Linked DNA regions of Daphnia pulex. The protein of the gene in region 1 interacts with the protein of each later gene in a biochemical or structural test. Links are inferred from orthologs where the notes say so. Each region holds a gene or a part of one and is shown in the gene's direction. Other genes may lie near its edges.

Region 1 (4,184 bases):
TGTTGTCCACAACTTAAGTAAAAGTCTTCTGCTTTGTAAATAAAAAGTGAAACAATTTTTGGGAGACTCGTTTTCGGTGCTAGTGCTATTTCAAGTAATAGATTTTGTTATTAACCTTAACCATGCCATTTGGAATAAAACCTGTTTGTTTTAAATGCGATATCAATATATCAGAGATATGGCAAAAAAACAACGAAGGAAATACAGTTTGCAGCGAATGCTTTCAAGGGAAATTGACAACAACCGTGAAAACAGAATCTATTGTTATAGAAAAGGCGCCTTCACCAGAAATAAAATTTCAAGAAGAAGATGCTTATAATGAAACTATTGAAGTGGATGATGTTGTTGTGGATGAACTTGTGGATGATATAAAGCCACGTAATGAATTTGGCCCAGGGACCAGGTCAGGAAACACAACTTCAAACAGTAGAGGTGGACGCACAGGAACAAAAAAGACACGTGGAAGAAGCAAGAAACTAGGAACTGCCAATAAAGCAACAGTTGGCAAAGGACGTGGAAGAAGAGCTGTTTTCAAGAAACAGGTTAAACAAATCCATAAATTTGATAGAAAAATTAAATAGATTTTTCCAATAACTTTTTATAAATTATTCCTTTTTAAATTTTAGCTACCATCTAAAGCCCCCACTGTTGCTTCTACCTCTTTTACTAGTGGGCATTTGTTTCATCATGACATTTATTATCAAGTGGGGGACATAGTTTCAGTCACAGATGAAGATGATGGAGTTTATTATGCACAAATTCGTGGGCTTCTGCAAGACCAATTTTGTGAAAAAAGTGCTGTATTAACTTGGCTCATCCCAACTCAAAGTTCACCACCCCCAGATGTGGGATTTGATCCACAGACATATATTTTAGGTATGTGAATTTTATATTTTTTTTTCTGTACAGCATTAAAACAGTCTTGGTTTAGGTCCTGAAGAAGAATTGCCACGTAAGCTGGATTATCTTGATTTCGTAATGCATGCGCCGAACGAATATTACAAACTGGATGAAAATGTTCGAGTGTCTAGTGAAAAAGAAGCTGGCTATATTTGGACAAGTATGGGTGCCGTACGAAGAACTATTCATTCATGAAAAATTCCACCAGGATCATCCGTTTATAGTAGAATAGAAAGACCAAGGCAGCCGGCTCTTTTGTTCTTTGTGTCTTTTAATGCCATTACAGATTCGTTTGTAAAACAATTCCATCATTTCTGAAGTTTGTAACTAAAAATATTTGTCACATGTTCTGCTACCTCACTGAAATTCGGAGGAAGAGTAAATTAAATTGTTTGATCTGTTTTAAGTGTTCTTTTCTAAATTTTTAAGAGTTTTCACAATTTTAGTAAGATATTTTCGAAAATTACATGTCGGAAATTATAGAAGATTTTTTTACCTGCTTGCACGGCTTTCTTAAAAATAATACTTGACCATTCCTGCATTACGGCTTGCCTTGCGGGTAACAATGTTTTTAGAAATTATTTTGTGCTGAAATTTTGAGCTGAAATATTTTCTAGTCTACCGGTAAAAATGTTTCGATTATAGTGGTAATAAACAGTTCATTTAAAATATAATGATATTTAAAAATAATATCGATAATGTTAATGAGTTTTTCAAACTTGTATAAGTTGTATGGGTTTTTATTCATTCATAATACTAGCGTCATTCGAACTAATAGACAATTATAACTTGAAATCACCAGCGGGAATTTGTTATTTTAATTTGAGTTTTAATTCAAAACCTTAAAAAAGTTTAAAAGAACTATAACAAATTCGAAATCGTATAGTAGGTTCGTCAAATACATCCATTTTGTCCAATGGGTTTCTGATTATCACCCATAGAGGGCCGTGATTCTGTGAAGTGATGAAGTCGTTTCAAAATTTGGCGGTTACATTCCTTAGTCCAACGGCCGCCACCGTCTCTTTGACATCCAAGTGTGCTCACCTTTTCCTTTAAAGTCGAGTCTGTGGAAACACGTTGGGTACGAACTTTCTTTACTTTGTTAGATTATTCTCTGTTTATCGTGTAACGAAATATTTTATGCAAGAGTCTTACGAATCAATTGATGACAATCTGATTTGCAGGTGGAATACGAAGAATACGTCACTCCAGTTTTTGTTTGCTGCCATTCGACTTCAAATTTCCGTTACTTTCCCGAGATTTCAATTCTTCACACTTTTTGGTTTTTGTTCTTGTTTCTTAACAAACAATAGTGATGCCTTCTGCAATGGAAGACTTTACCAAAATAGAAAAGATCGGTGAAGGTAATGATCCCTGGTACACTAAGCTGTGTAACTTGAACTGATTTTAAAACTTTTGTTTCGCAAAGGTACTTATGGTGTTGTCTACAAGGCTAAAAACCGTAAGACTCAACAATTTGTTGCCATGAAGAAAATCAGGCTTGAAAATGAAGATGATGGTGTTCCTTCGACAGCCATCAGGGAGATATCACTTTTGAAAGAGCTGCTACATCCCAATATCGTCTGTCTGGAGGATGTTTTGATGCAAGAAGGAAAGCTGTATTTAATTTTTGAGTTCCTGTCAATGGACCTTAAAAAGTACATGGACAGCATTCCAACTGGGCAGTTGATGGATAAAACTCTTGTTAAGTCTTATTGCCACCAGGTTTGCTTAGAAGATTTAGGACTCATTTATATATTGGCCTGATTTATATTTTCCCTCTAGATTTTGGAAGGCATTTTATATTGTCATAGACGTCGAGTTTTGCATAGAGATTTGAAGCCCCAGAACTTACTCATCGATAAAAACGGAATTATTAAGATAGCTGATTTCGGTCTTGGGCGCGTATTTGGAGTTCCCGTTCGTGTCTACACTCACGAGGTAAAGGAAAGAAGGTTCCCAATGCATGGACGTATACTATAAATTCTTTTGAACTCACGAAGGTTGTTACTCTATGGTACCGTGCTCCTGAAGTATTGCTTGGGTCATCAAGATATTCGTGCCCCATAGACGTGTGGTCGGTTGGCTGTATTATGGCTGAAATGATAACGAAAAAGCCATTGTTCCAAGGAGATTCGGAAATTGATCAGCTTTACCGTATTTTCCGGTAGTGTTACTTGTCCTTTTTTTTTTATTTTTAAAATTACATTTGTTCCTATTTTATTTGAAACACAGAGTAATGAAGACGCCCACGGAGGAAATGTGGCCAGGCGTTTCAAAAATGCCCGACTATAAACCTACTTTCCCTAATTGGAATACTTACCACCTTCAAAATTCCGTGAAGCAACTTGACTCGATTGGATTTGATCTGCTTCAAAAAACTCTCATTTACGATCCAGCCCTTCGTATCACGGCTCAGGATGCTTTAGATCATGCTTGGTTTACCGATCTGGATAAATCTATCTTACCCACCAATGTGCCTGCTTAATTAAGCATTCCTCATGTAAACGATAGCTACTAAACCTGGCCAACTTCCTGATGGTCGTTTCTTGAAATTCTGTTTTTCGCTTTTCCTAATCATCATTTTTTTTGCTCTCTGAGAGAAGATGGGTGTGATTCTTTTCCTTGGTAGCGAAGAAATTTTCTTCCCCCTTGTGTACGTGTGACTGTATACTATAGTTTCCTAATAAATATGCTCACGAGGACTACATCAGAAAATTGTAATTTAATTGGGAGATGTTCATTTTTATTTTTTATATCAACGTTCTGAATTAAATTGTCAACAATGTGAGTTTTTCGTTCAGCGACAGTTGAGTCTTGGTAAGTTGTGATAGATATAATACCATCAATAAATCCTAAATTAATAAAGTTTTACAAAAATTAGATTAAATAAGTAAATATTGGGTAATGTTTTCTACCTTTCGGTTTGAATTAAGCATCTCTTCAAATTCGTCGGGTGTCATTTTAGGTACCGAATGAACCATATCTAATAGAGAACGACCAAACGTGTTGTCAGCCGTTTTGGAGCCACTCATTACGTCGTCAACATAAGCCAAGATAGTGTCCAGCATGTTTTCCATCTGCTGCGAGGCTTCAACAATCTGAGTAAGATCCGAAGCGATGCCCGCTTGACGTTTAACCGAGGTTTTGGTTTTCTGGCAGGCATTTACTGAAAAACAATCAAAGATTAATTCCCAGTATACATACACATTTTCTATTATAATTACATCCAATAGTTTCTGGGTCATAGCATGCTATCTCAACAGAAACAGGAGCAAACATGC
Region 2 (4,593 bases), on another chromosome or scaffold:
GCGCAAGCTAGATCGTGCATCGCAGCTCCAATTGTATTTTGTCACCTTTTCTTTAGTTAAGATCTCAATAGACACGAGACTCGAGATTATCAAAAGGTGACGTACATTTTATGAAAGACGACTGGTGTTGGTGTGTTAGCGCAGACCTGGTGAGTGGTGGCACACCTGGTTCCCATTCCCACTGACTCACTTTTTCTGACACCTGTTGCTCCGACATATAGGTGGGGTTTTTATTCAACGGTTGTCATATTCTAGAATGTTCTATTTAGTTTTTGAAACATTTAGACCAGATGACGATGCGCATGTGCTGTTTATTTTTTAAAATAAAGTGTACAGTAGATTAGTATAAAGGTCCTCATATTTCGTTTGAAATACGCAAAGTTCTATTTTCCAGAGTAACACTGAAAAGAGAACGCTTTAAATAACATTATTTTCAGCTATATATGGGATTAAATAAATGAAAACCACGGGAAGTTTTAATTTATTTGTGTTAGATAATTTATTGTCAACTTCCCGTACCTACAAATGGAAGCATTGTATCAATCAAAGACTATTTCATGTTTATTAATAATAGAAAAGTGGTATACAAAAGAGAATAAAATTGTTGAACTAGATTTTTGTTTGTTTCACCGTTCTTAACGCGTAACAACGGTCCAAAACAGGATAAATGACCAATGCAATTGCTAAAAATGTAAATCCCCATTATCCATTCACCGGAAATGCATGTCTGTTAATATAGAATAATAATGCAGGCCTTTGTCGCGGAAATGTTCTCTACTCGACATTCCACTTGACACTTTCGCAATACTTAAATGCCTATAATGCCCAGAAAACCAATTAAAATTCAGTACTTTAAATTTTAGCAATCGTTATATACAACCTCAGATCCGCACTTTGCAGCATTTTCGCTACTAGCGCACCAAAAAGATGGACCCCAAGTACATGGATCTTTACCGACGGTGACATCTTCAGCCTCCACTGTAAAGGAGAAAACAATGATGCAGTTGTTAAAATAACATTAAAAAAAAAAAACGATTACCAAGGAAGGCGACTGCAAGGACGAAGCAGAGCAAAATCAACATGGAACGCATTTTGTTAACGACTGGTGTGTGGTGCGTGGTGTCAGTGTGATATATATACCTATTGCCACAGCACTCTCACTGACTCACTGTTTCAAACACCTGTGTTTTTTTTTCTGTTTTCTCTGCAAGGGACGACGACTAGTCTCATATGGAGCCAGTTTAGAAATTTCTAAAGAGTTCAATAAACTAAATGAATACATATATCACATATCCGCTATTTGAATAGCTGTTATTTGTATAGACAAAATTTATTTAAAAGGTGCCATTTGTCTATTATTTTTTGAAACGCCATTGTAATGTAATGCAAAATGGTAACATTTGATTTCGGTTTTTCCTATTAACGTAACAAGTTCCTATTAGTAACAAGAGATGTTTAATGAAGGAATGTACGGTATCATTTAGTCAGACTATTAATACAAATATTTTTACGTGTGTAGTTAAAATGTAGTTAAAAAAACCGAAAAGATTAAGGAATTCAAAAAGAACTGGCGGATGTAACATTAAGCAGAAACCGGCAACAGCGCATGTTCAAATGTACCCAATGGCAAGACATTTAGTGAGAGCATTTTAACCAACCACAGAAGTCGACTCTCACCCTCTCAATTTTTCCATTCCCCTTTTTTCAAACCGACGATTGTGCCAGTAACTGTAAGTAAGTAACTGAGTAAGGCAGCATCGGCGTTTTGTGAGTGAATGATTTGAGTCAGGTTCAGTAACAGATTAGTAATTTTATAGTTTTTTGTGTAACAGGCTTTTATTCAACATGTCTGTTGACAAGTAAGTTGGGTTTGGTCAGGTTTTCTTTTTTCTGAAGAGGTGGAATTAACTTGATTCATTCTTCTTTATCAAGGGCGTTCGAGGACGAGTTCCTGAAAGAAGGCTCGCAAGTTTTAAAAAATGTAATTCCGAAAATGGTCCAAATCTGGAAGCAACTGGGCTTTCCTCAAAGTAAAAGCCAAGAGCGTTTCAAAACAGCAGTTTCTCATCACAAAGTAAAGTCTTTGGTCACATAATTATTTTCTGAGTTTAAATGTTCTTTGTCCATTGCAGGAATTATGGGATTCCATGCTTGAAGAAGAGCAGATTAACAAGAAAAAGATAGTGAGCAGCATTGATCGTCTAGGAAGACAACACCACCAACTTTGTAAAGAGTTAGGTACCCATTACAGAGAATTTGGGGAAGAGATGCCACTTCTAGAAATGGAGAAACAGCTACAAGAGACCTTAACTGCATTAAACAGAGAAAAGGAGGAGCGTATGAGAGCAGTGAGAGCTCTGTTTCAAGAAGAGGATGTGTTGTGTTCTAGATTGAATGCAGAACGCTGTTCCCTCAATCGAGACAGAATTCCAAGTAGTGACCAGTACGGCAAGTTGCAACAAGCTATCAACGACCTAAAAACAGAAATCATAAAACGGTAAGTACAACCTGAATGCTACAAAACAGTTTCTACATTCTAATTATAATTCTTTTCTTAATGATAAATGTGTAGGCAAGGACAGTTTGTTAGTATGAGAGATTCGATTAAGAACTCCATGGCACAATTAGAAATGTCAGCACGGAATCCTTTTGAAATGGATCTTCTTGTGAGCGATCCGCAAAGCGTATCGTTGTCAGAAACTGATTTGAATAAAATCAAGGTATGTTTTGGTTAACTTTCTATGTTGAACCAGTAAATAATGTATACCTTTTCACATTCTAGGACATCCAACAAGGGTTGATTTCTCGGATTGAAAAAAATCAGAAGAAAGTAACTGATATGTGGAATACCATTGAAATATTGTGGGAGAGACTCAGTGTTGAACCGGATGTTCGCGAAATATTTCACATGCAGAATCGTGGATTTGCTCCATCCACCGTCACAACAGTATGTTTTAGATAATTTCCCTTAAGTAAAATAAACTTATGCAAAGTTTTTAATTTCACAGTTGGAACGTGAACTAACTCGTTTGGAAGACCTTAAACGACAAAATATCGAAAGGTTTATTCATTCAGTAAGACAAGATTTGATTGGTTGGTGGGATCGCTGCTATGTTTCGGACGCCGAGCGTCGCAACTTTACCCCATTTTATGCTGAAGTATACACCGAAGATCTACTTGAATTGCATGAAGCTCAGGTAGAAAGGTACAAGGAGCTGCATACGTCTTATAAAGACATATTCACGAAGGTAACTTAAATTTCAACTTGTCAATTCCTGTACGCTTAATTATGATCTGTTGTCATTAGGTTCATCATCGAGAGAACTTATGGAAACGCATGGAGGATATCGAGGCCCGTGGACAAGATCCGTCTAGATTGTTCGGTAATCGTGGATGTGCGCTCTTGCAGGAAGAAAAAGAACGCACCAAGATAATGAAGGTAGATAAAGCATTTGATGTAAAATCATTATGTGCTACACAGAACATTTTTTTAAAATAAATAACAGGAACTCCCTCGGGTAGAGGCCCAACTGACCGAGTTGATCAATAACTATGAACGGACAAATGGGCAAGTATTGCTTATTGATGGCCAAGACTATCGTCAGGTTGTCGTAGACCAGTGGGTCAACTACGAGGAGCAAAAAGAGCACGAAAAACTCCAAAGGGTAATCTGAAATGAATCTTTCTTAAGTTGCTTAAAATATTCATACTTTTTTTAAAAATATTTTTAGCAACGAGAGCGTGCCGACAAACTGGTCGAAGAAGCCAAAGGAGGAGCTAAGCCCAACACACCGATGAAACGGCGCTTGGGGACAACTGCCATTCGCACACAGATGGAGTCACCAAAATCCAAGCAAAGGAAACTATTGGTGCCCTCGGTAAGAATTTCTTCAAACTAGTCTTATGTTAATCGAGTCTGACAGAATGTTTGTTTGGGAAAGACGGCTCCTCAGGCACGACTGGGACCTGGTCGCCGGATCTTGACTGAAGCAATTGGCAATCAGCCTCCTCATGCGACGCCCAGTGATCATGACGTTTCGGTCATGTCTACTTATTCTGTTTTTACAGTAAGTGTTGACAAGACCACCTGACGTGTGTGTCTTTTACGTTTCAAAAGACTTCTTCTCGTACTGTCCAAATGCTTCAATTGCTTCATAATGCAGGAAAACGTAGCTGCTCGCATACAGGGTGCCAGCTCGCCAAACCAAAACTATTGAAGATGTGTGTTTTTTTATTCAAGTAAAACGTTTTTTTTCCGCCAGAATCTCACGTAGCGTCTGTTGATTCCGTTACGCACACCCCATACACACACTTGTAGTTTTGAAATTTTTTGGACCGCCATGTTTGTTTGTTACAATCTAGTTTTGAAAGTAGCTTGCTTGGGAAATATTTTTTCAAATGGATTATATTCTAACATTCTGTTTTTCGTTTATTTTATAGGAGACGTTACAAAAAGCTAGGCAAGCGAAGTGTGTAAACTCCACGGTTTTGATGGATTGTAACACACCATCATCAAGTCGTGGAAACGCGACGCCATCAACATTACCGCACCGTCGATCTACACGTTTGGCTGCAGCCGCCGCGCCGACCTTA

What was found. The genes of interacting proteins can lie anywhere in the genome.
Region 2: of the proteins of cyclin-dependent kinase 1-like (region 1) and protein regulator of cytokinesis 1-like, one has a biochemical effect on the other in vitro, tested with the Homo sapiens proteins (2 studies listed by BioGRID). The link is inferred for Daphnia pulex from reciprocal best matches to the Homo sapiens genes CDK1 and PRC1.

The regions. Positions count from the first base shown.
Region 1 is NC_060026.1:11,477,181-11,481,364, forward strand, and holds cyclin-dependent kinase 1-like, read left to right. Parts: upstream 1-1,830; 5' UTR 1,831-1,981; intron 1,982-2,084; 5' UTR 2,085-2,215; coding exon 2,216-2,264; intron 2,265-2,329; coding exon 2,330-2,625; intron 2,626-2,685; coding exon 2,686-2,841; intron 2,842-2,903; coding exon 2,904-3,067; intron 3,068-3,135; coding exon 3,136-3,388; 3' UTR 3,389-3,608; downstream 3,609-4,184. Other genes in the region: GATA zinc finger domain-containing protein 1-like, read left to right, coding at 123-542, 627-876, 932-1,095; eukaryotic translation initiation factor 3 subunit F-like, read right to left, coding at 3,672-3,755, 3,819-4,069, 4,128-4,184. UniProt on the Homo sapiens protein: Plays a key role in the control of the eukaryotic cell cycle by modulating the centrosome cycle as well as mitotic onset; promotes G2-M transition via association with multiple interphase cyclins.
Region 2 is NC_060020.1:1,303,200-1,307,792, reverse strand, and holds the start of protein regulator of cytokinesis 1-like, read left to right. Parts: upstream 1-1,654; 5' UTR 1,655-1,767; exon of another isoform or gene 1,768-1,832; 5' UTR 1,833-1,845; coding exon 1,846-1,859; intron 1,860-1,932; coding exon 1,933-2,074; intron 2,075-2,132; coding exon 2,133-2,497; intron 2,498-2,572; coding exon 2,573-2,720; intron 2,721-2,767; exon of another isoform or gene 2,768-2,782; coding exon 2,783-2,947; intron 2,948-3,008; coding exon 3,009-3,248; intron 3,249-3,307; coding exon 3,308-3,439; intron 3,440-3,506; coding exon 3,507-3,665; intron 3,666-3,731; coding exon 3,732-3,878; intron 3,879-3,941; coding exon 3,942-4,067; intron 4,068-4,163; coding exon of another isoform or gene 4,164-4,217; exon of another isoform or gene 4,218-4,239; intron 4,240-4,440; coding exon 4,441-4,593. UniProt on the Homo sapiens protein: Key regulator of cytokinesis that cross-links antiparrallel microtubules at an average distance of 35 nM. Essential for controlling the spatiotemporal formation of the midzone and successful cytokinesis.